Linked DNA regions of Notamacropus eugenii. The protein of the gene in region 1 binds, or shares a complex with, the protein of each later gene. Links are inferred from orthologs where the notes say so. Each region holds a gene or a part of one and is shown in the gene's direction. Other genes may lie near its edges. The genes, in order: PPARG, NRIP1 and NFKBIB.

Evidence for each region.
Region 2: the proteins of PPARG (region 1) and NRIP1 are in contact, whole or in part, in a crystal structure (PDB 9CWN), measured with the Homo sapiens proteins. The link is inferred for Notamacropus eugenii from reciprocal best matches to the Homo sapiens genes PPARG and NRIP1. Residues at the interface, in NP_056953.2 of Homo sapiens: Val321, Gln322, Thr325, Lys329, Phe334, Leu339, Gln342, Val343, Leu346, Lys347, Pro495, Leu496, Glu499, Ile500, Lys502; in NP_001426204.1 of Homo sapiens: Ser130, Thr131, Leu132, Leu133, Ala134, Leu136, Leu137, Ser139.
Region 3: the proteins of PPARG (region 1) and NFKBIB are in contact, whole or in part, in a crystal structure (PDB 9CK0), measured with the Homo sapiens proteins. The link is inferred for Notamacropus eugenii from reciprocal best matches to the Homo sapiens genes PPARG and NFKBIB. Residues at the interface, in NP_056953.2 of Homo sapiens: Gln322, Thr325, Lys329, Phe334, Leu339, Gln342, Val343, Leu346, Lys347, Leu496, Glu499, Ile500; in NP_002494.2 of Homo sapiens: Asn286, Pro287, Ile288, Leu289, Ala290, Leu292, Leu293, Arg294, Ala295.

Annotation. Positions count from the first base shown.
Region 1 is NC_092874.1:432,711,028-432,721,566, reverse strand, and holds the start of PPARG (peroxisome proliferator-activated receptor gamma), read left to right. Parts: upstream 1-6,512; 5' UTR 6,513-6,656; intron 6,657-7,732; exon of another isoform or gene 7,733-7,853; intron 7,854-7,913; exon of another isoform or gene 7,914-8,024; intron 8,025-10,539. UniProt on the Homo sapiens protein: Nuclear receptor that binds peroxisome proliferators such as hypolipidemic drugs and fatty acids.
Region 2 is NC_092876.1:410,458,160-410,468,660, reverse strand, and holds the start of NRIP1 (nuclear receptor-interacting protein 1), read left to right. Parts: upstream 1-6,104; 5' UTR 6,105-6,219; intron 6,220-10,501. UniProt on the Homo sapiens protein: Modulates transcriptional activation by steroid receptors such as NR3C1, NR3C2 and ESR1. Also modulates transcriptional repression by nuclear hormone receptors.
Region 3 is NC_092876.1:32,021,906-32,031,561, forward strand, and holds NFKBIB (NF-kappa-B inhibitor beta), read left to right. Parts: upstream 1-5,800; 5' UTR 5,801-5,938; coding exon 5,939-6,141; intron 6,142-6,541; coding exon 6,542-6,647; intron 6,648-6,763; coding exon 6,764-7,001; intron 7,002-7,438; coding exon 7,439-7,527; intron 7,528-7,959; coding exon 7,960-8,208; intron 8,209-8,393; coding exon 8,394-8,429; 3' UTR 8,430-8,546; downstream 8,547-9,656. Other genes in the region: SIRT2 (NAD-dependent protein deacetylase sirtuin-2), read right to left, coding at 7-153, 255-321, 470-537, 714-765, 864-940, 1,337-1,392, 2,071-2,130, 2,241-2,370 and 8 more; CCER2 (coiled-coil domain-containing glutamate-rich protein 2), read right to left, coding at 8,838-8,915, 9,348-9,656. UniProt on the Homo sapiens protein: Inhibits NF-kappa-B by complexing with and trapping it in the cytoplasm.

The DNA of each region.
Region 1 (10,539 bases):
AGCAAATAACAGTCTTGATATGAAAGAAAAAACCCAGACCTTTCATTTTGCTTGTACTGTGAGTCATGTGGACTGTGTAGCTGTAGGGCAGAATAACAGACTGTCTATCAAACGTGTATAATTCATGGCTCACCCATGCAGATACCATAAGTCCAGAGAACTGTATGGATCCCTGGGGAGGTGGTCATCACTAAAAGGGAGGAATGCTTTCTTCTAGAACCACCTAGAGTATTTTCCCTTTGTGGGAAAATAAAGAAGAAAGGCATTAACTAGAAAAAAAAATATTTTATCATTATTTTTAATATTATATTAGAAACATATTTCAAAATTGTGAAAAGTATACTAAAAATGAGTGAGCAAGGCACCACCTCCTTCAATGTCAAAGAAAAAATGTTAAAGAAATATTAAATTATATCATTTTACCCTTTATGTCAATTTATAGATTACTTCCAAAACAGCAAGGAAATGTGGAGTGTAGTGGAAGACATTTGTGATCAACTGATTTCCTTCCTTCTGCCCCCAGCCCAGTTGATAAAATCACAGTTGATAAAGGACAGGTAACAGAGACTTCAAGGTGTGATGATATTAAATGATATACAAAGAAGAATTTATGGTTTGTCACCCTTTTAGCAGAGGTATGAACAAAACTATTGAAATTCCAAGTGTTAGCCTATGTAAAAGTTAGATATTCCCTACCAATCCAGAGTTCCTAGATAGAAGATAGCTTTAAGGAGGGTGACTTCTGAGGGTGACTCAAAGAGAAGTGAGTCAGCCCTGGCTGTGGGTATTGTAGAGAGAAACAGGTAAAAGGACCTGACAAACAAGAAGGAAGGAAGGAAGGAAGGAAGGGAGGAAGGAAGCAATTGAAAAACACCACTGTAGGGGCATGGCTTGGAAGACAGGCCTCTCCACAAAACAGAGGCTCCAAGAGGAACTGACCAATGGCAAAAGGATAGCAGGCCTTATAGAAGGGTTTACCAGAGCAAGCAGGCCACTGGAATAGTAAATTGTACCAGGGTAAGAAGGCCTCACATCTGAGGGAAGTTCATGAATGAGTGAGCAATTAAGTGTCATCATTTTTAATATAGGCATACTTTGGAGACAGTTTGATTCTAAACTGCTTTAATAAAACAATAAAATAAGTCACATATTTTGGTTTCCTAGTGCATGTAAAAGTTGTGTTTATACTATAGTCTATTAATTGTGGAATAGTATTATGTCTAAATATATATATATGTATATACATATCTTACTTTTAAAATTTTTTATTGTTAAAAAAAATTCTAACCACCTGAGCTGTCATCAAAGTCATAATCCTTTTGTGGTATAGGATCTTCATTCAATGTTAATGGGACTGATCAAGGTGGTGGTTGCTGAAGGTTGGGGAGGCTATGGTAATTTCTTAAAATAAGAAAACAATGAAGTTTGCCCTATCTATTGAGGCTTCCTTTCACCTGAACCCTTAAAGGCCATTCTAAGGATAATTGGCCTAATTTCAATACTGTTGTGTCTCAGGGAATAGGGAAGTCTGAGGAGAGGGAGAGAGGCAAGAGAAGACCAGTTAACTGAGCAGTCAGAACACACAAACATGTATCAGTCGAGTTCATTGTCTTATGTGGGCCTGGTTTGTGGCACCCCAAAACAATTTTAATAGTAACATAAAAGATCACTGCTCACAGATCACCCTGCCAGACATAATAATAATAATGAAAAAGCTTGAAATATTATGAGAATTATCAAAATGTGATTACTAAAATTACCAAAATTACCAATTGCAGTAGAGAGGTAAGAGGCAACAGGTATAGAAAGTTTCATGAGCTGACAGGTATAGTCACTATATGTATTGGTTGCTTTCCCTCAAGCATCTTTCCTTGTTATAAAAGAAGATTCAAATGGGCATGAGAGTGGGGGTTGAGAATATGGGGAAATGAATGGAGTGTACAAGAAAACTGAATCCATAAAACTATAAAAATACAAAGAGAAAGAGAAAGATTAAGCACATCTGTACAGGAATCTATAGTTACCATAAGTGAGAAGACTGATTAGAACATTCATTTTCTTTATCCTTCTAGAGCAAAGTAACAAAATACTAGGATAAGTGTTAAATGGTTAATGTACTCTTTTTTTGGACCCTGAACTGAGTCACCTTATTTGAAGAAAGATTCTACTGAATTTTTTTAAACACAGCATTTTTTAAAAAATCATTGGTATATTAAAATGTCTGGAGTCTTTTCCCAGGGGAGCCAATTTGAGTATGTTCAGAATACTATGGAAATCAATTCAATTACGGTCAATCCACATTACTAGACCTCCATTTCCTCCCCATGTGGCACGTATTTTTATTGCACAATTATAAACAGAAGGGAAGAAATTTCCTTAGTGAGAAGGAAAGCATATATATGAATTATGTGTATATATATGTATATATATATATATATACATATATATGAACTCTGTCTATAGGTATGTATATATGCACACATATAGACATACATCCATATGCATCTAGATGGCACAGTGGATAGAGCACTGGCCTTGCAAACAGGAAGACTCATCTTCCTGAGTTTAAATCTTACTAGCTATATGACTCCAGACAAGTCATTATGTCTATGAACGTGTGTCACACACACACACACACACACACACACACACATATTTGAACTGCATATGTTTATTTGAAATGTGTGTGTTTGTTTTTGATTTGGATTCAAAAGAACTACAGCCTAAAATACAAGATGCTCCAAAAGTCTTAGTGTTGTTTAGGCTTAGTCCAATACTATTGGGACATCTTGTATCCAACTCAAAGAACCAGTGGGAATAGCAGTGTGGAGAAGGAGGTGTTAGTCCATTAGTCACATGGCATTGTGTTCATCCTTCACTGCCGAAGAAGACCATGCCATCAGAGAAATGATGACATGACTTGCGCTTGACTTTGGCTTGAGTGAGGGAGGGCTGTGCAAGGTCACCAGCCTCACTTCTCCTCCAGGGCCATCCGAATCCAGTGATCTGATATTCCTTAGGATGATTGGAGATGACCCAGGGTGCACTGGGAGACCTTGGGCCCTTTAGGTCAAGGTCTTTGCAGGTACTCACCTAGGGTGAGGCAACACCCATTCATTGAATAGGCCTGTTTAAGAAATAGCCAGGGCATGGCCCCTTTAATCAGATAAAGAAAAAGAAAGACTTCAGGCTGGGTGGGAAACAGCAACAGTTACTATTGATAATCTAAAGCTAGGAGGATCCAGAGGAGACCTTAGGCAGGGGTCCATTGGAGTCCCAGTTTCAGAGTGCAGTAGGTTTAAGGTTTTAGGAGAGGACAGGACAGACAGGAAAGAAGCCAGTAAAACCCAAGACAACTGGACACCTTTTGACCATCCAAATTTACCTTCCTCTGAAGAGAAGAAGGAAGGCGAGAGGGAGGCAGACAGGAGAGGAGGAGTTTAGAAGATGGGGGAAAGCAAACAACCATAAAACCCAACAGCTCATCTCAAGTAATCAGGACCAGAGCTGGAATCCTGACTCTGCCACTCACTGTTTGGGTAACCTTGAGCTAGTCACTTAACTGGACTTCAACATGTATATGTATAAAATGAAGCCATTAGACTAGACGACTTCTAGGGTCCCTTCTAGCTCTCAATCCATGATCCAATGAACTGATACCATTCTGCTTCATTGTTGTAAGAGGAAGGCAGTAAGTAGCCCACACATACTAGAAGAATATTTTTGAGCGGGGAAAATGTTGAGTCTACTTTACACTCCTGAGTGACTTTAGTTATGAGCATTCTGTAATTAGAACTTGGTTCATTTGGGGTTGGATCACTAATATCAATTTTCTCATTTGAGATTTTGATTCAGGAGAAAAAAAAGATTGCCCAAAAAACTGAAATAAGGTACACTCCTGGTTAGCAGCAAGGTGTGTTCTTCATTAGCATTGATGAAAAGAAGTTTTATACCTTTTGGTCATCAGAAGGCTTTTCAGTTAGGTCCCTTGTGGTAGAACTGGAGAACTGGTTATTCTTCATATACTTGGAATATGCTTTTTGAAATGAAGGGGAAAAAATTGTTCCTACAGGGTCATAAACTAGAAGATTCCATGTTTGAGATGAGTACCACAAACTTTGCTTGGTCTCAGCAGCTTTAAATATACTTCCAGTTGGTGGGGAGATGGGGAATTGAGGGAGGTGGAGAGAGGCCCCAGGACAATGAAGTGACACTGATACTGGGGAGACCACCAGGGGTCATATGTCTGATACATGCCAGAACCAGGACTGAGCCCAGGATTTCTGACTACAAATCTGGTGTTCTTTTCATCTGTCCATACTGCCTTTCAGAATATGTGATAGAGAGGATATTTTTATAGAAGATCATCTACAGCTCATATGAAACAATATTTAGTAGGAATGGAGAGAAATAAGGATCACTGATTTAGAACTGGAAAGGACCTCAGAAACTCTCAAGTCCAAGCCTCCCTCCCCCATTTTACAGATGAGGAAACTGAGGCTCCAGGATGTTGAGTGACTTAACCTGTATGTTAAGATCATAACAAGCATGAGGTAGAATTTGAATCTAGGACCTTTGTCTCCAGAGCAGAGCTCTTTCCACAATACTGTGATGCTAGGAAGTTGTGAGCATCTCACTTAATGGATCTCATTTTCTGTCTTTTGTTCCTATATATGTTTACTAGCAGTGCTTGGATTGGGTGGGATGGGATGGGAGAGAGGACTTAGAAGACTGATACATCCCTCTCGGTGACAAAGTAGATAATCTTTTGACTAGTAAAAGTTGCATTTGGGGCTGTCTGCCCTTTGTTCTGGGCCCATATCAGGGAGGTGATGCCATGACCTGTAAATGAATTGGATTACTGCAGCAAAGGAAGAAGAGGGTCGTTTGGGGTCTCAGAGGTGGAGCTGGGGCCCTCCCTACTTCAAAGAATGATTGTCTAAGCCTAGTCACTTGCCCCTTTATTTCACTACCGGGCTAACCCACCTTCAAAATCCATTGTGGAAGGCTTTAGAGAGGGAAAGAAACCTTGGAGATGGCCAGGCCCAGTCCAACCCACTTTACAGTTAGGAAAGTGTAATGCTGAGGGAAACTGAGGGAATAAGGGGAAATGACTCACGAAGGTCTTACAAGGGTCAAGTGACTTAGCTGGGCTTCCAACCCAGTCCCTAGCGTTCCAGGTGCTTTTTCTAGGGCAAATGCTGGAAAACCCTTTCTGGCCTAGAAAATCTTTGCAGACTAAGGCTGTTGCCCTCCATGAGGCACTTTCCATCCCTCAGTGAGGAGTTTCCGGGCTAAGTCTGTCCTCAAACAGTTTCCATTCTGTCTGGCCTTGAGAAAGGGCCGGTGGAATTCTACGTCGGTCTCTGGTTTAAGTTTGTCCCCTAGGAGTTTCGGGCCTATGACTGCTTTGCTGGCCTCAAGAAACTTTCCATCTAAACGTGCGCTGAGTAAGTTGAGGCAAAGTGGCCAAGTTGCTGCCAGTCCCGCAGTTCCAAAATAGTATGCCCTGAAGGAATTCAGCTCAGGGAGCTGGGAATCTTTTGGAATTTACAATTGCATCCACAAGCTCTAGACTTCCTTAAATTGTATGCAACAAACCCTAGCAAACCTCTGCATTTGCATGACTGCACGTGGGCTTTCGGAAGTCTCCCAACTTTCCCCTCCAAGGGTCTCGATACAAAGAAAATTACAGTGCTGGAAGCAAGAAGTTTGGCCACCACAGCTCTCGTCGAGGTGCCCCCTCAAACAGCTTCTGGTCTCTCTGTGCCCAGGTTGCTTCCAGCCCAACTCTGTCCCCAAGGCGCTTCCATTCTCGCTCAGGATAACAGAAATGACTCAGTTTAAGGCTTAAGTGGTCGAAGTGCTTCGGCCCCGCTTTTCTCTTCCAGATGCCAAGTCCCTGCCTCGGCTCTCCAACTGCGCCCTGCTCTGCTCTCCACTCTCCGGACCCTCGCAGGCTGTCCCGGCTGACCTCCAGGCTTCCAGAGGAGAGCCGCGTTCTTGCCCGCCTCTGCCATCCCGACCCCAAAGTTACTTCCCCGTAGCGGGCGGGGTGGGCTCACTCCGGGGAGGCAGCGCTGTCCCCCGCTCGGAGGGCCGAGCCGACCCGAGCGCTGCGGGGGGCCGGCCGCGGGCTGGTGCTGGTTCGGAAGCGGCTCCGTCCTGGAGCCAGCGAGCCAGCCAGCCAGCAGCGAGCGCGCGGGGAGCGCAGGTCCCTGCGCGCCGCCCCCGCTCCCGCCCCCTTCCTCCTCCTCCTCCTCCTCCTCCTCCTCCTCCTCCTCCTCCTCCTCCTCCTCCTCCTCCTCCTCCTCCTCCTCCTCCTCCTCCTCCTCCTCCTCCTCCTCCTCTCCTCCTCCTCCTCCTCCTCCTCCTCCTCCTCCTCCTCCCCCTCCTCCTCCTCCTCCTCCCACCTCCTCCTCCTCCTCCTCCTCCTCCTCCCCTCCTCCTCTCTCCTTGCCCCCTCCCAGTCCAGGACCCTGCCCCCAGCCTCCGCCCCCCGCCCCGGCCCCGGCCCCGGCCGCACTTGGCGATCGCGCAGGAAGAGCGCGCTGACACTCCGGAGCCGCAGCCGCCGTCACCGTCACCGGAGCTGCCCGGTCTGGCTCGGCTCAGCTGGGGCGGACACCGGGAGCCAGGGACGCCACCGGCCGCAGGTCAGAGCGCCCCCGCTGGGCTGGGCCGCGGCCGCGGGGACCGGGGAGAGGGCTGTCCAAAACAGCCCGGGGCTGGGTGCCTGGGGCCAAGAGCCCCCACGCGTCTGGGGTCCCGTAGCCGGGAGCACTCGTGTCGCCGGGTGTCCCGGGATCAGGGCTCCCTCCTCGGCCGCCGTGTCCCGGACTACGAGGGTCGCGGACCTAGATGTCTTGGGATAAAGATTCACAGGCGTGCCCAGTGGCCCGAGTTTAAGGGCACGCGGGTCTGTGTGTGCCCGAGTCACTAAAGGAGACTCGCAGCTCCTGTGGCCCGGGCCGAGGGGGCTCTGAGCCGAAAGGAAGCCGCGCAGGGTGCGTGTTCCCTGCCCCGGGACAAGAGACTCTGGGGTCTTATGTCACGGAAGAGAGAGGGCACCGAGGCTTGGCTCCAGGGCTAAGTGGCCCCGGAAAGGAGTCGTAGAACTTAAGCGACCTGGGGTCAGAGGGAGCTGAGTCCGAGTGCCCTGGAATACGGAGGGTTGGGAAGGGGGTCACTGTCCCCCGAGAATAGGGAGGGAAGTTTCCTGGGAGACTGTGTGCCCTGTGTGAAGGGCGGACGCCATGCAAGTGGCTCCCCCCCGGCCTTGCCGACCTAGGCAAGGGAACAGAGCATCTGTCTCTCTGTCTGACTGTCCTTCTGTCCGCCAGGTCTGCCCTGGGGTTGTAGTGCAGGGAAGTAACAGGTGATGACAGCCCCCAGCCCTCCCGAAGTTCTGGGAGCATGCACGGGGCAGGAGGGGCCCAGGGATGCCAGCCTGCTTCCGAGCAGCAGGATGAGCGCGCTGGTACTAGGAGTTCCCCAGTGTGCCCCGTGCTGCCAAGCTGAGTCCCTCGATGCCATGTGGGCACGGCGCAGGACAGCAGCAGGCTATGCTCCTCTGAACTCTTGCGGGGGAAACGAGGTGGGTCAGGTAAACAGAGATGACAGGTTCCTTGGGGTTGGGGGTGGAAGGAGGGTGTGAGGGTGAAGAGAAAGGTGGTACTTTGTGCCTGGGCTTTTGGGGAGGGGCCAGGGAAAGAGCGCCGGAAACTGGGAGTCACCGATCCACGGCTTTTATATGGGGTCAGGTGAAGAGGAGGAGCAGCTGCTCCACTTTGATCCGAAGGGGTAGGAGGGCTCCGTCGGCACCTTCATCGCCGCTGACTTCTACAACTTGGGTGAGTCAGCTCGCATCAGCGACATTTTCTTGAAGTGCTTTGGTGAGAAAGTTTGCGGAACGTTTGGCATTTGCAGTGGTGACTGACAGCGGAGCCGGCTGAAGCCCTGGAGGGATCCTTGTGAGACCACTAGCCCATAAAGTCCGAGTGAAAGCCAGTAGTGATATTCTGGTAATAACTGACCTGTAATACTATTGGGGACTTGGAATATTTATCATTCTGACCTAAAAGCATTAAGGGCTTTTAAAGTAACTTTGCCTAATGAGCTTAAGGCCAAAATGCATAGGTGTAATTTCTTCTGGTAATTTGCTTGAATTAGCTGTTGAAAATATTTGGACGGGGAAATGGACTTTGGACATATTTTAATTAAAATGTATCATTTTATCAGCCATGCTACTTTTCACTTCAAAGGTGTGGTTTTGGTTTTTGTTTTATTTTTTTTCAAGTTGTGAAAAGAAAGTTTCTCTCTATGGAGAGATCAATGAATTACTTATTCATAAAACGGACCCTGTCAAACTAAGTGCCTAACCACAGTGGACTTCAGGTGCCCTGTAACCCTCCTCTTGTGCATAGGAAACTCATCATTGCTATGTAGTAACGTAGAGCTAACTCCCCCTTCTTGTTCTCTTTAGGAATTGGACATGGATGTTCCATAAAAATTTCGGGGGAAATTACTTAGGAAATTAAATACTGTAATAAAATGATGGACAGGTATCATTGATCATCATAAGCCTCCCCCCCAAAAAATAAGCCCTGATAGCCTTTTTGTGATTGTACATCGATTATACATTTTCGAGTAAATAGTAATAGACAAATTTCAGGATTTTTCTAATTGTTACAATAAAATGTCTTAGTTTTCCATTTTTGTGAATAACTTCAGCTTTAAGTATTATGCAGTCATGGACAATTTTACATGAGAAATTAAATATTTGTAATTACTAAATCATAGAATTGGAACTGAAAGGGTAATTAAGAAAAGTTTTTGGAGAATTGGAGTTTGAGATTTGATGTAAGAACAAAAGTTCCTGACAGTTTGGGTAGAATGGATTATGTCCCCTTCCCCCAAAGGTCTTCAGGCAAAGGTGGATGCTTGTCCTGTTGTAGAGGGGATACAGGTAGGGTTAGATGGCCTCTGATGTCCCATCCAACCTGAGAGTCAGGAATTCTGTGGTGGCAATTATACTCATTTTCTCACTTAAATCGTGGTTATTTGTATATCTTATGGTGGCCCAGCCTCTTTCACTATATTATAAACTCTTTGAGGGCAACATACCCTGCCATCTTTCTTTTCCCAGAGCTTAGTCAACAGTAGGTGCTTAATAAGTGTTTATTAAATTCAATCGAGAATATATCAGTCAAAAGGAAAATGCAAAAATAGAACTACACATTTTTCTTTTGTCATAACATATACTTTACACAAATGATTTTCTTCCTCCTTTATTTAAATCATATGACATATGATATTCAGTATGCTGACGATACCTTTAAAACTAGATGGGTATATTAAATTTTAAGACTCAGCTGGGGACCAGCATGGCTTTTTCTTTTCTTTGCTACATGATATAGGAAAAACCCTACTTCTGTTGCTCTGATACCAGATTTTTATCAAATATTCCTCTTCAGCCCTTTGTTTTCTAGTTTTTAACCACAAGCACAGTAAAACCAGCATTATTGAAACTAACATTGGCATCAATAAAACAGGAAGCTGCTCAAAGTAGAAATTATAGTTTCAGAGACAAAATGACCCCCTTTAAGAAAAGGAAAAAAAAAGCATTTCTCTAAAATTGCTTAAGTCAGATTCCTGCCTGCCCATGTTGGGATGGGGAGAGTGGGTTTGGATTCTTTAAAAGCCCAAAAACCCCCGGACCAATCCATAACTTCATTAAAACTAAAACGTGGACCAGGGTCACCTCTTTTAATAGATCTTCACAACTTAGCTACTTGGAAAACAATTTTTGGAATTGCAGTTTTAAATGATAAATGTAGCATTTTCTTTGAAAAGAGCTAGTTTCCTGTTCTTCAGAAATTAGGTCTCTGCTGCCTTACATATTTCAGTATTATTTATTTTAAAAGAGTGATAAATTACTTGTAGAAGAATTACAGTGTTACTTTCAAAGTCCTCAGGACATTTTAAATTTATACTGGAGGAAAAAAAGAGTTTGATTTAGAGGTATGAATCAGAAATACATTATGATGCTGGCTCTCTTTGCCAATAAGCTGTGTGAATTGTGAACATATTCCTTGTTCCTCGTCCTCCTGAGAAGTCTGTTTGCAAACTCTCTTCTCAGCCAGCCAATTTGTTAATTAATTAGAGATGAATTAGAGGTACTTCTGTATAATTATGTATTATTATAATTCTGTTACATTTAGGCTATAAACAATACATTGCATTAGTAACAGAGAAATCTTTATGAAACAAAAAGTTATGATGTTCTTAAGTGTTTTACATATCGAGGCCTGTATTCTTTTCTTGAAATCTGCATCCTTAAAGTATTTTTAGCCATCTCTTCATCCATTATTTTCTTCAGCTGTGTTTATATAGTTAGAGACTAGGAAAGAAAGATTCCCTCATTATAGTTCACCTGAATTTGGAAGTACAGTTCTGGCTTTGACCTTTTGGGAGCTGTGTTAACAATCTATATGTAGTAAATTGGATAGACTGAATCCTTAGGTCTCATCAGGAAAT
Region 2 (10,501 bases), on another chromosome or scaffold:
CTCACTTTTTCATAATTTTCTTGTGTCATATTCATTTGTCATCCCAATTTTTCCTTCTCCCTCTCTTTGTTGATTTTCAGAATCCTTTTGGAGCTTTTCCATGGCCTGAGACCAATTCGTATTTTTTTTGGAGGCTTTGGAAGTAGGAACTTTGACCTTGTTGTCTTCTGAGTGTGTGTTTTGATCTTCTTGTCACCTAAGTAACTTTCTATGGTCAGAATTTTTTTCTGTTGCTTGCTCATATTCCCACTCTATTACTTGACTCTTAGTCTGTATTAAAATAGGGCTCTTCTTCCAGGGTAGAGGGTGCACTGTCCAGAAGTAGTTGCTGCTTCTGCTGATTTCAGTGGCTTCAGAAGCCTGCTCCTGCTTTGCTTTGTGTTGGCACAGCCTATGCTGGGACTAGTCTTCACTCCAACCCAGGTGTTGGCAGACCTTTCCTGCCAGCCTAAGTTGTTGGGCTGGAAAATTATTTCATTCTGTGTTTTTTTGAGTGATGGTGCTACAGAATTTGTTTAGAGTCATTATTTAAATATATTTTTAGGAGTTTGGGGGAGAGCCCTGGTGAGTCCCTGCCTTTGCTCTGCCATCAGGGCTCTGCCTAAACTCTGTAGCTTTTGACACTATTGATCACTCTCTTCCTCTTGATAACTTTCTTCTCTTTGGTTTTTATAACTCTTAAATTTCTCTATCTTTGAACAGTCTTCCAGGTCATTTTTTTCTATCAGCTATCTTACTGATAATATTTTTTCAGTCTTTTGACTTTTATTTTCAGATTTCTTGCTGTCTCGTGGAATCATTGAGTTTCGTTTGGTCTATTCTAGTTTTCTGTTCTATTTGGGTAAGGTTTACTTCTTTCTGTTCTAAGCTAAGTTCTTTTTCTACCTGTAATTTTTTCTTCTAGACTTTTAATTTCATTTTTCATCTCTTGCTTTATTTCTCTATATTCATGTGGTGCTTGAGAAAATCCATTTTTTCTTTGATTCTCTTCTGGTTGTAGTTGATATAGCATTGCTTATTCCTTCTTTTTGTGCCATCTTTACATTTTCCAGAACTTTTTATACTGTGAATGGTTTTTCATTGATTTAATCATCTATTTTAGTATATAGGATATTTTGTATTGAATATACAATCTCTCCCTTAACCTGTTATTTGACTTGTATGTGAAATATTAGATTCATTATGAGATGACCTCCTAAGTGAAAGTTATAGGAGGATGGTAATATTGTTGCTTTGATAAATATAATTCTTTCTTCTTATTAAATGTACTCAGTTTTGTTTAAATACATTTATAGCTTAATTTCTTTGGAATTTAATTATGACTTAAATTTCTTAAATTCTAGGCAAGATGCTTTGTTGTATGTGTACTTTCAGAAATGTAAGACAGCAACCTCTAGTGACTTATTTAGCAACCTGCATCAAAAATGGATACTTGTAACTTTATGTTCTCTGGGAATAACATTTTTAAAGTTTTATTCCCCCCCCCCCATTATATGTAAAAACAATTTTATCACTTTAAAAAAAAGTTTTGAGTTCCAAATTCTATCCCTGCTTTCCTCCCTTCTCCCTCCCTGAGACACTACACAGTTTGATATAGTATCCAATCATGTAGCACATTTCCACATTAGTCACCTTGTGCAAGAAGACTCAAACCAAAGAAAGAAAGAAAAGAAAATGAAAAACACTATATTTCAGTTTGTATTCAGACAGCATCACTTCTTTTTCTGGAGTCAGCATTTTTCTTCATGAATCTAATGGGATTGTTTTAGATCATTGTGTTTCTGAGAAGAGCCAAGTCATTCACAGTTACTTTATCATATAATATTGCTTACTGTGTACAGTGGTCTCCTGGTTCTGCTCATTTCACTTTAAATCAGTTTATGTAAGTCTTTCTAGGTTTTTTGAGAATATCCTGTTTGTCATTTCTTATAGCACAATTGTATTTCATCACAATCATATACCACAACTTGTTTAGCTATTCCCCAGTTGATGAGTATCCCCTCAACTTCCACTTCTTTGCCACCACAGAGAGCTGTTATAAATATTTTGTATATATAGGTCCTTTTTTTAAAAATCTCTTTGGAATACAGACCTAGTAGTGGTATTGCTGAGTCAGAGGGTATACATGGTTTTATATGTACTTTGGGCCTATATTTTTTGGGAACCTATGTAGTAGTTCTCCAGAATGGTTCACAACTCCACCAATGGAGCATTAGTGTCTCAGTTTCCCACATCCCCTCCACCATTAGTCTTTTTCCTTTTCTGTCATTAGCCAGTCTGATAAATGTGAGGTTATATCTCAGAACTGTTTTAATTTGCATTTTCTTAGTAATAATTTAGAACATTTCTGATGTCTGTAGATGGCTTTGATTTCTGTCTAAAAACTGCCTGTTTATTCATTTATCAATTGAGAAGTGATTTGTATTCTTACAAATTTGACTCTGTTCACTATGTATTTGAAAAATGAGGCTTTTATTAGACCTATTTACTACAAAAATTTCCCCCAGTTTTCTCCTTTTTAATTTTGCTTGCATTTGTTTTGTTTGTGCAAAAACTTTCTAATTTTATATAATCAGAATGATCTCTTTTACACTTTGTAATGTTCTCAATAGCTTATTTGGCCCTAAATTTTTTCCTTACCCATATATCTCAGGTAAATTCTTCATGTTCTCCTAATTTGCTTATGGTATATTGCCCTTTATGTGTAAATGATGTACTCATTTTAATCTTATTTTGACATACAGTTTGTGATATATTGGTCTATATCTAGTTTCTGTTATACTGTTTTCCCAACAGTTTTTCTCACATCATAAGTTTTTGTTCCCAAAGCTTAGATCTTTGGGTTTATCAAATACTAGATTACTGTGGTCATTACTGTGGTCAGTCAGAATCAAATACTAGATAACTGGTCAGTACTACTGTGTAGTGTGCTCCTAATCTTTTCCACTGATCTTCCACTCTTTCTTAGCCAATACTAGATTGTTTTGATATTTACAACTTTATAATACAGTTTGAGATCTGGTGTGACTAGGACACTTTTCCTCACATTTGTTTTCATTAATTCCCTTGATGTCATTTACTTTTTTGTTCCAGATGTTATTTTTTTTCTAGCTCTATAAAAGTTTTATTTTTTTTGGTGGTTTGATTGGTATGCACTAAGTAGATTAATTTAGTTATATTACCTCAGCCTGCCCATGAGCAATTATTAGTTTTCTAGTTTTTTGGATCTGATTTTATTTGTGTGAAGAATATTTTGTAATTGTGTTCATATAATTCTTGGGTTTGTCTTGACAGTTAGACTCTCAAGTATTTTATATTGTCTTTAGTTATTTTTGAATGAAATTTCTCCATTTCTTCAGTTTAATACATATTTACATAGAAGAAAAAAGTTTGCACCGTCTCCGCCAAGAGATGAGTTGACATAAATTTTCCATTCTTCGTTAATTATGCAAGGGAAGCTAGGTGGTGCAGTGGATATAGCACTAGCCCTTGTCAGGAGAAAGAGGGTTCAAATTCTTCCTTAGACACTAGCTGTGTGACCTTGGTCAAGTCACTTGATTTTATTTGCCTTGCTTTCCTCATTTGTAAAATGAGTTGGAGAAGGAAATGGCAAACCACTTAATATCTTTGCTAAGAACATCGCAGATGGGGTCAAGAGGGAGGGATAGGATTGAACAACAACCACAATAGATCTGTTCAGCATTTCAAGTGCCTGTGTTTTGCATTGGTGCAATAGATTATTCATAGTAAACTTGTTCTAAGCAAATTACTTTGATTGTTATTTAGTTTTTATAACTGAATCAGAAACTTTTAGAAATGTATCCTGCACTCTGGATAACGATAATTTCTAGTATTAAAGGTATGTATCATCTTTATCTTTTACTTTTCTTTACTCCATGACTTTGAAGTCACTAATTTTGCTCTGGAAAAATTTCAATGTAATTTAATTAAAGTACTGTTTTTCTTCTAGCACAGTCAGGAAAGCGGTTTGTTAGAAAGATTTGTTATGCTGTTTGTGGAAAGTGAACATAAGGTTAAATTTACTGCCTAAAGTGATCTGGTAATACTTTTATGTAGCTGCTGAAGAAATGGAGAAATTTCATTCAAAAATAACTAAAGTGTGAGAATAAATAAGTCAAATTTTTTTTTTTAACGCAAGTTATTTATTTTAGTTTTGTTCATTGGAGAAATTTTCTCAGTTTATCCCGTAGCTAACACCATTGTTGTCAAACTTAAATAGAAACGGAACTTTACAGGCTTAGAAAACCATGAATGAACTTTATCTATGTTGTTTTATATTTTTATTTTGCAAAGTATTTCCTAATTATATTTTTTCTGGTACCTGCAGCACTTACTGACTTGGAGTTTGACCCCTCTGGCTAATAACCTTCTCGACCTACCCCTTCCCTACCCATTCTTCACACTCCCACCATTCACTTCCTAAATTTTATAAAGACTATTCTGGCTTTAATTATGACTTTAGTGACAGATGATATTCTTAGTTGCCAAGAGGGCAGTAAGGAGTTGCAGACTTGTTTCTGGCATGAGTTTTCCTGATGTTGAGCTATAATGCTAAGCCACTTGGCGCAGGACCTAGGAAAGAAGAAACCTGAATCCTCTCTCACCTGCTTAGTTGGGAGCTCTTCCCTCCTTCTGGAAGATTATCCTTCGTGAAAAATATTGGCATGGATAAGAGTTAATTCTTAGACACAATTTTCTATGTACGGAATTAAAATAAAAATTATTAAGCAGTACTATTATTTCCCCTTCTGTGGCAGTTTTATGTATTTGTCTTTAACTTAGGGTAGTGTTTCCATGGAGTTCTAAAACACTGCTTTAATTTTCTCAAGGAATTTCAGAGAGATTATATGCCACCTTACATGTTGGTTTTGAACAAGTTGGACACTGATAAAATGAAATGGGAATAAACAGTAGGAACTGAAGAGCTACCTACTATAGAACCATGGCAGGCCTAAGAGTTTAGATTACATATAGAATTAGTCCAAAATCATGGGGTATTCCTTCTTTGAAAGCTTTTTTTCCTAGATGTGTGGAAGGGGGTGGCCAGTGCTGCTAGATGTGCCTTATTACTCTAGTATTGGCCAAGTCTAGGTGGGGTAGCAACTGTGAAATGATGAGTGTATGTGATTGTATTTAAACCTTGTCTTTTTCTGAAGCTCCCAAGGTTAACTACTAGGGGCGAGGAGTATTTTGTGTGTGTTGGAGTGGAGAGGAGCGGATCGTAAATCCTTATGCATCTTTTTTATTGACATACTTTGGAGGGAAGAGGGAATTCTCTTATCAGAACATGCAGAAGTTTGTTTAGCTTTCTGTTATAAGGACTCTTCTCCTTTAAACAAAATAAAGACAGTAGTAAAATAAAATTGGAGTACAGAATAGAAACTGAAGAGCTACTCTTTGGGGATATCAGTTTGGGGATTTCATATTGTATAAGCTTATGGTCTTAAGTAGGGGGAAAAACAGGTTATAGAACACAAGGTGGAGAAAATGTATACAAAACAAGACAGCAAGAGTGTTCTATAATTAAGTTTATTATTAAGTCATTCTGATGATTTCCCTTTTACACTTAAAAAACCCTCACAATTTCCTGGCTGTTTCTTGCACAGATTTCTCCCTTTCTACAGAAAAGTATCAATTTTTGAAGAATGGATACTTGATTTAGAACATTTTATACTCATCTAAAACAACAGTTTCCATTGGGTATGGTCAAAAGTCATCATCTGGGAAAGACTAGACTAGCTATAAAAGTACTCCACTCCTTGAATGAAGTACTTTCTTTTTTCCCTCCTTATTTTGTAAGAGGTGGTCTAATCCCTTATAAGACTTCTATTGAAGTCACAGAATGGTGTCATGCAAAGGGTAAGACTACAGTGTAGACAGATGTGTTTGAATCCCTGTTCAGACAGATGATAGGTATACCTTTCAGATCTGTAAAACTGTAATAATGTGAAAAAGTGCCTTGCAAATTTTCAAGATCTATATAAATATCAGTTATTTTTCAGAATTATTAAATGCTTTAAAGGGTTCCTTTAAAGTAATGAGCATTGTAAAATAACTCCAGTCCTCCTTAAATTTTTTTTCAGGAACTATTGGAATTGGAAAGATTGACCCACAGATGTATTTACCTGTTGCCTGTAACTCTAATTGATACATGGTTTTCAGCATCCATTCTTTCAGATACTGGGAGAAAATCAAAAGGTATGGCATTTTATTTATATAGGTTATTAAGTCCTTAGTAGGAGAGTAATTACGTTACTGTATGACTTATTTGGCCATCAGCTTCTAGGTATTGTTAAATTTGCTATCTATCAGTAGAAAAAGAATGTTTATTATTTTATGTGATGAACACTGAAGTCTACTTTCTTTGATTTTATGTAAGTAAAAGGCATGTGGTAAGAAAAGCTGTTTCATTTTGAGTACGCAGAGTCTTGCCCATATTAGTGCTTAGGCTCATTAAAACTTTTTTTGTAGCATAAAAGCTTTTAGAAAGTTTCTTTCATTTATGGATAATAAAACATAAATATATTTTCAAGTAGATTTACAGTCTTTTCTCACTTGCCTAAGTATTGGTTTACCAAACTGTGCTTGTGAAACCTTTCATTTTAAATAGAATTTTGAGGGAACTCTTGCATTAAACAAGCTTACAAAGTGATTTTAAAAAATATTTACTAGCAATGACCCTAGAGAATATGAAGCTGTTTTTTTTTTTTAAGTTTTATCATTCCTTTGCCCTGAACACAAAAAGAAAAAGTTACTTAAGAGTGAAGTGTACTTAAATCACTTCCAAATCCACATTTTCTTTTGCTTTTTAATTTTTCTTGATAGCTTTTGTTTTTAAATGATCTTCATTTCTGAACATATTCCATGTTCCTCTCCTACCCAAAGACCATTCTTGGTAACAAAGAATAAAAAGAGTGGAGGTGGGGGAGTATTTTAATGAAACTAACCACCATCCAGAGCCTGACCTGTTTGATGTTACTCATCCTTCCAAGTGTCCCTCGTTTGCAAAGTAGGGAAACAGATGCATTTTTAAAATTTCTTTTTCATAGCTGAAGTTGGTTAATATAATTTAAAAGTATTTTGTTATTACAGGTATATTGTATTTTGTTTAACTTGCTCTGCTTACTTCATTCTGCAACAGCTCATATGAGACTTCTAATGCTTCTCTGAATTGTTCTTATGCATCATTTTATGGCATCTTAATATTTCATTAAATTCATGTGCCATAATTTGTTTAACCATTCTGCATCCTTTGATCTTTGTTTATAGTTTTTCCACTAACATAAAAAGTGCTGCTATGTAACACTGTAATGTATATGGGACATTTCTTTCTGTCTGTGACATCCTTGGGATGTATGCCTATCGGTAGGCTCTGTGGGTCAGAATGATGGACATTGTAGTCACTTTTTAAAGAGCGTAATGCCACATTACCTCACGTAGAATGGTTAACCTGTTAATATCTCCACCAACAATATATTTTAGCAAGTGTGTCTTCAAATTCATCTTTTCCTTTCAAACCTATGACTAGAAAAGATGGGCTCTCTGAGAATCATAATTGTTTTTCTCCCCAACAAGATTCTTTTTATTATTGTTATTATTTTATTGCAACTAGATTCTTGCATGGGACCAAAGGGAGATTGACAGCAAATTAAATGGTAGGTGAGATTATCAAAGAGAATGCCCTATCCAGTATCTTTATCAATTATTATTCTTGGATAATCAGTTATAAAATATTTTGTAAAGCAGTTGTGGAGACAATTCTGTTTCCTAGAAGGAAATAGGGAACAATTGAAGTTTATTTAGCAAGGGATCTTAGAGGCCATCTATCCAGCTTAAGCCTCTTATTTTATAGATGAGAAAACTGAGACCAGGTGAGGCTAAATGAATTGCCATACAGATAGTAAATGTCAGACTGGTTATGAATTACTGACTCTAAAGCCTTACTCTTTTTACTGTACCATGCTATGCTTTAGTTATAGCACTTTGGTTGCTAAGTCTAAAACAGATTAAAGAGGAGAGAGACTTTAGGCAGGGAGACCAATTAGAAGGCAAAAGTTCTGTAGGAAAGTGATGAAACTTTGAACTATGGGATGATCATGTAAGTAGAAAGGGATAGATAAGAGAGCACAGATTATGTAAGCATCAGCCTGCAGTGTAAGAGGCAGTCATTTTCTCAGACTGCTGGAGGGGGGCAACTTTAGGGACTAGAGAAGAGAACAGCGGTGTGAAACCCACTTTGTGGGGAATGTGAAATAACAGCCAACAGAATAATTAGAAGGAGAGTGAAAGGGCTGCCTAACTGAGCTTAGATAGCACACACTGGAGCAGACTTGCAGCAAAGTTTGGCATCTAGGAAATAGGAACAGAGGAGGCAAAATAGTAAGAGTTACCTAAAGTTGAGAGTTAGGACGGGACAGTAGGAGGTCAGAGGCATCAAGGTGAAGAAGAGGGCTTTATTAAAATAGCTGACCGTGTGGTCAAGACTGTGTAAGGAAGGAAACTAAAGCTAGAACCTGGCTGATAACACTGGAGAACTAGGAATATAAACACTGAAACTTGTGGTGATGGCATTAAACTGGTACAGGAGGGTAGGGGGTAAGGAAATAGGAATAAATAGGACAGGACAGTGGGCTTCACAGGGGAGTTTAGCCATCTTCTTTCTATGCTAACGCTTATCCTTCTCACATACCCCGAAACCTCTTGCTCTTGAAATAGCAATCAAATCAACAATACCATCCTTGTGACTTAGACCATAACACTTCTCCCTGGCTTCTGTCTTGTCAGACTTCTCAGAATGTGACTTCGTTATGGGCACGAGGCCCTTCGGCTTTTTGTATTTGTATCCCAAGTGCTTAGCATAGTTCCTAGTACATTATTAGTGCCCACTAAATGCTGTCTTGCTTATTCATTCATATTTTGCCTGGAGAAGGGAAGGATTTAGACTCTGTGATAGCTGTCTTCAAGTATTTGAGGAGCTTTTATGCCTGTGAGTGCTTACAATTATTCTGCATAACCCTAGGAGACAAAATCAGTAGTTGACAGAAGCCAATTTAGTTTCAGTGTAGGGAGACAGTTCCTAACAATTAAGAGTCCCTTGAAGTGAAATGCCTCAGAATATAGTACCCGTAACTTGAAGTCTTCAAACAGAAGCCAGAGATGAAATAGATAAAGTGAACCAATCTGGGAAATAGTGCCAGATTGGGAGCTTGAAGACAAGATCAGAGGGTGGAGCTCTGAGGCATCAGCAGTTGCATCCATTGTAGAAGTGGACGGTGGACACAAGGCAGATCTGAGGCTGGCTTGAACTCTCGTTAATCAATAAAAAATGGTACTTTCCATCTTATTTTAAAATAAAAATTTGTGTCAATTAAAAAGCTTTTATTTTCTTTCCACTCTTCATTAAAAAAGAAAAAGTAAAACCCTTATAAGAAATATACATAGTAAAATCAAAAGACATTCCCTTCTTGGCCTTGAAAAAATTTATATATCATTCTGTATGTTGAATCTGTCACCTCTCTGTCAGGAGGTGTGGGTAGCATTCTTCAGCATCCACAGTTTGTTTTTATAATGTTATAATTTGTTCTGCTGATTCTACTCACTTTGCATCATTTCATAGAACTCTTCAAAGTTTCTTTGAAACTATTCCTTTCATTATTTCTTCCATTACATTCATATATTGTGATTTGTTTAGCCATTCTTCAATTGATAGGCACCCCTCTTAATTTCTAGGACCTTGCCACTACCAAAAAAGAATGGCTGTAGATATTTTTGTACATATGCATCCTTTACCTGTTTCTTTGATCTCTTTGGGGTATAGGTGTAGTTATAGTACAAAGATTTTTGTAAATTTTTTGGCATAGTTAAAAATTTTTATCCAGAATGACTGGACTAATTCGCAGTACCAGCAGCACTGCATTAATGTGGCTGTTTTCCTCTAGCTCTTCTAATATTAGGGCTTGTTTTTTGTACTGGCTTCATCAATCTGAGGATGAGGAGTATGAGATGGGACTTTAGAGTAGCTTTAGCAGTCATTTGTCTAACATTGAACTTTTTTTTCCATGTTGTTGAGAGTTTGGACCATTTACCAATTGGAGAAATGGTATTATTCTTAAGAGTTTAAATCAGTTCATTATGTATCTTGGATATATATTAATAAATATACATGTATATATATAATTGATATTATTATCATTGCAAAGTTTTTTCCCCCATTTAACTATTTCCATTCTATTTTTAGTTGTATTGGCTTTGTATAAAAAAAATTAAATTTTATGTAATTAAAATTGTCCATTTTCTCTTTTGCGATCTTCTCTGTCCTCTTTTTGCTCATAAACTCTTCTCCCTATTCATACATCAGAATGATGTTTTTACTTTGCTCTTTATTTTATTTTATATCTGAGTCATGTATCCATTTGGAGCCTGTCTTATTATATGGTGTGAAATGTTGATCTAAACCTTATTTTTGTTAATTGCTTTCCAC
Region 3 (9,656 bases), on another chromosome or scaffold:
GCTGAATCACTGGGGCTTCTGTCCTTCTGCAGCTTTGCGGGGCTCTTTGTCAGCCTGGGCAGACTTCCCTGAGGCGCTGAGAGGATGCAGGCTGGTCCCAGCCTGGGCGTCAATGGCTGCATGCTCCTTCTTCACCAGTGCCTCCAGCTCTTTCTGTGAGCACAGAGGGGATGAGGTCAACCAGAGATGGCTGGGTCAAGGCTGGAAATCAAGAGCCTGTGCCCCACAATGGGACAGGAGGCCTAGATGCATACCTTCCATCCCAGGAGGTCAGCCAAGGCCAGACAGCCCTCATCACAGTCCCCAAGCCAGGCCACATCCCTGGGGAAGGGGAGGGGTGAAAAACAGGGACAACTGGGTAGAACCTCCCAGCTTCCCCACTCCCTTGTTCCCAGTCTGCCCCTCCTCCCCCACCCAAGTCAGGAGACCCTCAGCCTTCAAACTACCCCCCAGGCCAGTGGCTCCTCACCTGTAAGCCTTGTCCGAGTCGAAATCCATGCCTCCCCCCATACCCATGAGCCCCAAGAAGGGATCCCGCTGTCAAAAGAGAAGGCAATCAGAAAGCAGTGGGATGGAGAGGGACTTAATGGCGGTCAGGGGTGGTGGTGGGGTCCTCCAAAAATATAAAGGGGGGACTGAATCAGAGGCCCCTGAGGCAGTCTCCCTCAGACATGCTGGGGCTCTGTAGGATGCTGAGCCCAGAGAACACTTACCTGTCCTGTCTTCTCCTTATTGATGAGGAGTCGAGGAGTCGTAAGTGGGGCCCTGGGGTAGGGGGTGGACAGAGAAGAGAGAGTGAGGCAGCCTTCCTCCCTTGGTCTCCCTCAATACCGCACCCCCCCCAGCAACAACTCCCCCCATACTTGCTAACGAGGGAGGCAAAGGGCTGCACTTGCAGGGAGGTGCCCATGATGATAAGCAGATCCACCTTCTGGAAATCCTGGAGGACACAGGAGGGACAAGCCATTTCCCCTGCCCCTGCACCCCCTCACCCAGAGCTCAGTCTGGAAGACCCCGGGAAGATCTGGGCCAGAACACCACGTCCTCTGCTCTTGCTTCGGACTGGCTTTCAAGGCTTCTCGGCCGGCCCTTCCTCTGCCTCCTCCAGCCCTTTTCCTCCCAGCACCCTGGGTCCCAGTCCCTATCACTCTGGCCCTGAGGGACCTTCCAAGAACCACCACCAGGGGGAGCCCTACACTCAACTCTGGGAAACCAAATTAGGAGTCAGCCCTCTGACATCTAAGGGAAGTGAACGAAATTCTTTGTTCGGGAAGTGGGCTCCGGGAGCTCTAGGTCCTGGGTAGATGTCAGGGAGCAGAGCAGATGGATCACCTACCGATTGCATGCAGGAGAAGAAGCGCGCTGGGAGGGTCTCGCCAAAGAAGACAATGTCTGGGGAGAGAGAGAGACGAAGGAGAGACAGATGGAGGAGAGACAGATGGAGGAGAGACAGATGGAGGAGAGACAGACGGAGGAGAGACAGACGGAGGAGAGAGAGAGATGGAGGAGAGACCGAGAGACAGAAACGGAGGAGAGACAGACAGAGGAGAGACAGACGGAGGAGAGACAGAGATGGAGAGACAGAGACAGAGGAGAGACAGATGGAGGAGAGACAGAGATGGAGAGACAGAGACAGAGGAGAGACAGATGGAGGAGAGACAGACAGAGGAGAGACAGATGGAAGAGAGAGAGATGGAGGAGAGACAGAGACAGAGAGAGACAGATGGAGGAGAGACAGACAGAGGAGAGAGAGATGGAGGACAGACAGATGGAGGAGAGACAGAGATGGAAAGACAGAGACAGAAGGACAAGGAGAGGAAGATGGGAGAGAGGGGAGGTACAGACAGAGAGACAAAGACAGAAAGAGAAAGAACCTAAGATTAGGGAGACAGGGGAGGGGGTTGGTCCCCAGGTGCCAGAAGGAGAGCAAGGGGATGACAGCCAGGGGCTCCTGAGCCCTGACCAGTCAAGAGCTCTCGAACTTGATCTAGGGAGGGAAGGGATATTTTTGCTGTTTCCCGTGACTGTTGACCTCCTTCAAGGCCCCCTCTTCCCTTTCCCATGGTTCACCTGGTTTCACGAGACTCTGGCATTTGTCACACTTGGGGGTCACCTCTGAGAAGATCTTATCTGGGGGAGAAAACATGAGGTAAGGAATGATGGGATTGGAGGCCAGGGGAGGAGAGTAGCATTCCCTTCCTCAGGGCCCCTCCCCCTGCCCTCAGGGACCCAAGCCTCACCTTTCATCCAGCCCAGGTCATACTCTTTGTGGCAGTGGGAGCTGATACAGTGAGAGGTATAGAATGTTCCATGGGCTTCAACCAGGTCCTCTGGTTCCAGCCCAGCCACCCGCTCCAGTGTGTCGATGTTCTGGGGGAGAGGGAAGAGGAAGCAGTCAGTTAGAGCGTCTCCTCCTTATCCCCCTACTAGACTTGAAACTCCCTGAGGGGAGGGGCTCTGAAATTGGAACTGTGCATTTGCCCAGGTGTGTAACCCAGCTTTCCGCCACAGCGTCTGAAAATTATTTATTGAAATTAAACTAAATCGAAAGTTCACATCAGAATGGATGGAAAGAAAATCTGACTAGGGTAAGAAAGAATTGGCTAGTCATCAATTTAACGTTCGAACACAGAGATATCATAGAACATGTTTGTTCTTTCCAAAAATAAAACTCAAAAGTATTTATAAAGGACAAATGAAGTCAAATGATGCACTGTGGTTATTTTGGGGAAGAATTATATTTTTGGTGCCACTGCCCATCTGGGGGGCTGCCCACTGGGTCTGGCAAGGCAGACTTGCCTCTGTAGGACACAGCCTGTAGAGTGTGGGCATTTCATCCTCCCCCCTTCCCTGGCTGCCCTCACCTGGGTATAGCAGCGAAGCAGTAGGCCCTTCTCCTTGAGCAGGCGCATGAAGTAATGACACACGGTGGGCTACAGAGGGGTGGAGGGGAGTGAGGGCCAAGGGGTACACACACATTGTCTTTGATGTGGTTAGACAACTGGGACTTTCCCAGTTTCTTCTCCCACCCATTGTGGGGAGCAGCCCACCCCCCCCAAGCCCAGATGGGGAAGCCCTGACTCTGTCCCCCAATTGTGTACCTTTCCTTTCCTTTTCCTCTGATTAAGCTCACCTTAAATTGCCCTGGGTACAGCTCCCGGGCCAGAGCAAAGAAGGGCTCAGGGTGTTTCTGGGGAAAACAGACAAAGACAGATGAAGATACGTGAACCCTTCACTCCTTACAATCCCCTACCCAGGATCAGCAGCCCAGATTTGGGGGGCCCACTAGTGATATTTGATAAGATGAAGGATTTAGCTGCAGGATCTGCCCTGCTAGTGTTTGAAAGCATGAAGGCTCAGGAAAGGGAAGGGTTCTCCCTCCAAGGAGTCTGTGAAAACTTGAAAAGTGGGGTGTTCTTAATGACAGTTTTACCTTAAAGTAGCTGATCTCAAAGATGGCTTCAGGGTAGGGAAGGTTGTACTTCTCCAAGTTGGCATAGAGGCCGGTGGACGGGGAGCGGAAGTCAGGGATGCCAGCAGCTGGGGACAAGGGTAATAGAAGAGGCATCCCTGGGGGAGGCCACCTCACTGGTGAGAGGGGCCTTATCCCAACCCCTAGGTTAGCTCCTTTGGGGATCTGGCCCCCCTTCTCCATTCTGGGGGGAGTTTGGAACCTGAGGGCACAGGGAAGCAGCTACTTACATGTAGAGATCCCTGCCCCTACCATGCAGATGATATTCTGACCTGGAAGAGAAAAAAGGTGAGGGGAGAGACCTCAAGACCAGAGCAGTTTGGGGTTGTTTCTCTAGTCTCATTCCCTGGAAGGACAACTTCCCTACCCGGACTGCTTTGGCCCTGTGGAATCCTAAGGTGAGTCCCACCCTTTAGTCCTGAGTTCTCACCTGGTCTGGATGTGTCTCACTGGGTTTCCTGAGGAATGGGTAAGGGGAGGGAGAGAAGTGGTCCCAACCCGGGACATGGGAGCTGAGGTTGGGTGGATGGGGTAAGGCACATCCTGTAGACAACCTGAGCTAAGAAAAGGAGATGGGGAGAAGCAAGAACTCACATTGGTCACTCTGGATGAACTTGGTCACCCCTTCCAAGGAAAGTTCATCCAACAACTTTTCTCGCTTCCCGCTGCCCAGGCCCAGGGTTCGGGAGAAGAGATTCCGTAAAAAGTCCACTGTGGGGCAGACCAGAGGATGATGTTATGCAGGAAGAGGGCAGGCACTGGTCCCAACTAGGCTTCAGCCAGTCTTGTCCCCCCCCCCAGTTCACCACCCAGGACAACTTACTCTCTGTCTCTCCAGATGCAGCTCCACTCTCAGTTTCTGAATCTGAGTCCTGGGAGAAAACGGCCAGAGAGGGAGGAGGGTCAAGGGGGGCTCCAGAGGGTTGGCGCTTGGGGAGGACGATCACGGGAGGAGGGTTGGGAAAGGGGAGTCAGTGGAAAGAGGGTCAGAGGGAAGGTGGGTCATTAGAAAGGAGAGCCAGAGAGGGAAGCGGAGGGGCACAGTTTGGGGAAAGGAGGTCAAAGGAGGGAAGGGTAGGTGGGGAAGGAGGGGGTTAGGGTCCTCGGAATGGGGGATGGGCGGGCGGATCTGCTGTTTCAGGGCTGGGGGCGGGGTGAATAAGCCCTGTGGATCTGGGACACGGGGCGACCCACTCCCTGGGGGAAAGCCGGGGAGAGCCATGAGTGATGGGAGCAGGCGGGGGAGGCGCGGATCCTCTCACGGGCCAATCATAGACGTCCTCTCCCTCCCCTAGCGGCCAATCACAGACCTCGTCCCCTCCCCGGCCAGCCAATCACGAACGTCCAAGGGCGCCCCCTCTCACCTGAGCATCCTGCACCTTCCCTGCCTCGTCCTGAGGGGGACCGGGGGCTAGGGAAGGGGGGTAGGGAGACAGGGTTACATTGGAGGGGGGGTGGGAGGCCGTTAGCGTGGGGGCGGCGGCGGGAGCGAGAAGCGGGGAGGGGGACCCCAACTGGCCACGGGCAGGGGTGCAGAGGGGCCCTTAGCAACCAGGTACCAGGCTTCCCAGAGGTCACGGTCCTTGGTAACCAGATCCACTCCACCACATACCCCGCAGCAGCCGCGGCACCTGTTTCCTTCCACCCTAAAACGAGGCCCTTAGGTACTGGACACCCCAGGAATTAGGACCCCCCATCTTGGCTCCCAACCAGCCTTAGCCGGCGCTGCGGAGACTGGGGCCCCCAGGGCCCAACCCATTCTCCTCCCCGCAACCCTAGATCGGGGCCCCACGCGGTGGTTTCCGGGTGGCGAGTCCCCATAGCCGTTCGCCCAGAGGGCCTGGTCCTAGGCCCGGCCCAAGAGCCCACCCGTGCCCCGACTCACGGTCCGCCTCGGCCATGGGCCCGGCCCCGGGGATGGGTTCAGCAGCGTGGGGGGCGGGCAGGGGCCCTCGGGGCTGTCACCGACTGCTCCGTCCCGTGACGGCGCAGGACACGGGCGGGGGCGGGGGCAGGCAGGGCGGGCTATGGACTACAATTCCCAGAAGAGCATGTGGCCATCGCGGGAATCCCACAATGCCCCGCGCCGTCTTTCCGCCGTGTTGAAGGCCGGCGTGACCCACCGCTCACAGAGAAACCACGATTCCCAGTGTGCCTGGCGCCGGAAGCCGTCCGGGTAAAGCGGGACTGAGGGCGGATACACGAGCCGAGCCGACCAAATGCGTCTATTGCCTCTATTGGACAACTTGGTGCGAGGGGCGGAGCCCTGCCGGAAAGGTTGCGCGATCTTATTGGCAGTCATCTCTAAAAAGGGCGGTGCGACCCTCCCTGATTGGTCGAAGCGCTGAGCGAGTTGGGGAGCAGGGGGAATTCCCCGGGTCCGCGGAATCCCCGGGCCGGCGGCTGTGGCGACCAAGACTCTGGATGGACCGGGGGGGCCCGGGACGGGAGGGCTCTGCGTAGGCCATGGCGGCCCCGGCGGGGCCCGTGAAGTCCGGGGACAGCGGGCTCGCGGAGGAGTGGTGCGACAGCGGGCTCGGGTCTCTAGGGCCCGATGGGCTCGGGCCCCCGGCGGACGGGCCGCGGGACAGGACGGAGGAGGACGAGGACGAAGAGCCAGCTAGCTGGGCGCCCGAGGTGTTCGGCTACGTGACGGACGACGGGGACACGTAAGGGGCCGGCCCGCTGCCCCTGCCCCTGCCCCCAAGGCTCTCCCCTTCCCAGGGTCGTGGAAAGGTGGAGGGGGGATCCCCGCCCCTTACCGGAGGGGAAACCGAGGGAGGGAGGGGAGGTGTGAAGGCAGGGCTAGGAGGCCCCGGGGGTCCTCAGGCCATCACCTGGGACAGGGGACGTTGAGTTATGGCTTGGATTAGTTTTCCTGCTCCTACATTCTGTCCCTCTCCAAACCTCCTGGCCTCTGACCCCTGACCCCGCCTGACCCCCTTCTTTTCCCTTTGAACGGTGACTCTTTTAGGGAGCTTAATTTCCTTCTCCCCTGCTGCCCCGCAACGGGGCCTCGAAGGTGGCCCGACCCCCACCTCCCTGACCCTCTGTGTCCCCCCTGCCCAGGGCCTTGCACTTGGCAGTGATTCACCAGCACGAAGCCTTCCTGGACTTCCTGCTTCACTTCACGGCAGGTACTGAATACCTGGATCTCCAGAATGACCTGGGCCAGGTGAGGTCCTTCCCCTACCTGTGGATGGGGCCGGCAGGGCCAGGAAGAGGCCCTCCCAACCCCCCACCCCCAGGACTGACTGGCTTCTGCTTGCACTTGTGTTCCTCTGTCCACAGACGGCTCTGCACATAGCGGCCATTCTGGGGGAGGCAGCCCTCACTCAGAAGCTGCGGGCCGCAGGGGCCGGGCTCTGTGTGGCAGAGCGAGGTGGGCACACGCCCCTGCACCTGGCCTGCAGGGCTGGGGCTCATGCCTGTGCCCGGGCCCTTTTGGGGCCCCTTGAGGGCCAGACAGCCCAGGAGGAGGAGGAGGAGCAGGAGAGACGGGAGCAGCTGGAGTGCACCAACTACCAGGGTATGGCCCAGCCAATGCTTCTCCCCACTGTCATGGACGCAGCCTGATTCCTGGGGGCTGGAAGCATCTCCCAACAAGGGGGATGCAAACAGTAGCCATGGCTACGTGGACATAGGAGTGACTCTGCCTCTGGCACTGTGCCAAGGGCTTTCCCAGCATTATCTGATTTGATCTTCCCAACAACCCAGTGGAGTAGGTGTCATCACTTTCCCCTGCTTTCCCCGTTTTACAGATGAGACAAATGAGTTCAGGAACTAGCCCAGGGACAGTCCACACAGGCAAGTGAGTGTCTGAGGCTGGATTTGAACTTAGGGCCAGATCCCCACTAAATGCATATTCTCCCATTTCCTTTGAGTATGCTCATTTGCCTTAAATGCTTTCTAAATGTATTCCCTAAAGGCCTTCTAAATCTTTGTTTCTCTAAAATAACTCCACAGGCCACACTCCGCTCCATGTGGCTGTGATCCACAGGGACACAGAGATGGTTCAGCTGCTCCGGGAAGCAGGGGCAGATCTCAACAAACCAGTAAGGATACAGAACCCTGTCTGCCCTCAACTCCCAGGCCCTCCTCCCTTTTCCCATGCTGCTGTTCCCCTCCTTCCATGTATCTGTTCTGTGAGATTCTTTTCCGCACCCCCAGCTCCTTTCTCTAGATTGGGGGAGTCTAAATGAGGGAGATTACTGCTTTCCTCTGAGAGGGAGCTATAAAACAGACATCGACCCACAGTGGGCAGAGGGGCTTCTTTGAGACAAGCGGGGTCCCCTTCAGATCATACATGGTCTGAAAAACAAGGTGAGTTAGGCATGAAGATACCAGGTCCTTCAAATGGGGGACAGGCCTAACCTCTAGGAAGAGACTGTTGTCAGCAGTAGTGACTAGGGATAGATGAGGGGGTGGGGGCTGGGGCTCCAGAAAGGGGGGACATGTCCTTTACATGCACTCTCTTTCCCAATCAGGAGCCCACGTGTGGGCGGAGTCCCCTCCACCTGGCTGTGGAGGCAGAGGCAGCTGAGGTCCTGGAGCTACTCTTGGATGGCGGCGCAGACCCCAAGGCCCAAATGTATGGAGGCCGTACCCCGCTGGGTAGTGCCACGCTGAGGTCAGACCCCCTCCTCGCCCGTCTCCTGCGTGCTCATGGAGCCCCGGAACCTGAGTCTGAGGAAGAGGAAGACTCCAGCCCGAGAGGCAGCGATACTGATGAAGGTGTAAGTGACCTGGGGGAGTTCAGCCAGTGAGAAACTTGGATGAATGGGATGGAAGAAGAGAGAGCACTGGGGAAGGGTGGTCTGGTAACTGATCGTTCCAGAAGGGGAGGGTTGATGGGAGATGGGGAACTTGGGGGGAGGCCCAGGATGAAGGAGAATCAATTCCTGACTCCACTATCCTCTAGGATGAGTATGATGACATCGTGGTCCACGGAAGCTGAAGTGGAAACTGAGGCACACCTTCCTCACCTGCTGGCTATCTCTAGCCAATTTCTTTGCTTTTTTTTTTTTTTTTTTGTAGAAAAGCTTTAATTTCAATAAAACTCTCATTCCCCTGGCTGGAGTGTCCAGGGATCTGTTGGGGCCAGAGCATCTGAATTCAGAAACAGACCAATGGGAGGAAAGGCATGCTTTTATCTGTGCTTTATTTACGTTGGGGGAGAGGGGAGCAGGTGGGGCAGAAATCTCTGACCCCCCCCCCAGTCTGTTTTCTTGGTGACCCTCTCTTGCTCCCTCCCCCCACCACCTGGAGAGGGGCTGATCAAGAAGGGCAGGAACCAGTCCGTAGCCCAGTTTTCTGAGATGAGCGAGGGTGGGTGGGGCAGGTGCCTGGCATTCACATTTGCTTCTCAGCCCCTCCTGCCCAGTGCCTCGGCTGCCTTCTTCAGCTCCTCCCCCATCTGCTCCAGGCGAGCCAGTTCATGTTCCTGGGGGGGGGGGGGCGGGGAGAGGGATGTCACTTAGTGCTCTAAGGAGACCCTTCTTCATCACCCCATGCCTCTTCTGGCCTCCAGAGGCCAGGATTTCATCCATGTAGGCCATTCCCAGATTAAGGAAGTTTCTCTGCCCATGCAGGCAGGCCCCTCTGGGTCCTCCCTCTGCTACTCATACTGACTAGAGCCTATAGATCTGTGTGCACGTTGTCTCCCCATTAGGCTATGAGCTCCTGGAGGGCAGGGCCTGTCTTTTCCCTCTCTTGTACCCCCAGCACACACCCCAGTGCTTGGCCCATAGTAGGCACTGCATGTTGCCTGAGGCAGGACTTGGACAGAGCCTTCCTGATCCCCTCTGCCCTCCATCCTCCATGTGCCACCTTGGCCACCCTTGTCCCCTGTGGACCAGCAGCCTTCCTGGCTCACCTTCTCTGCCTCCATCTCCTCCTCAGATTCCTGTTCAGAACGGGGCTGGTGGTGCTGGTATCTGTTGGCTGGACTAGCCCCCTGCCACACCCTCATCCCCTTCTCCTCCTCAAACTGGGCTGTCTCCTCCTCACTGGCAGCCTCTGCCACACGTTTCTCCACACCCTGGCCCCAAGCCTCCTCTGCCTCCTCATCTTCCTCAGAGCCCTGGGACCCCTCTGGTCTCCTCAACCTCCTCCTCCTCTTGTCATCCTCTTGAACTCTGGTCTGACCCCTCACCTCCTGTTCCTTAACTTCTGACTTTTCCTT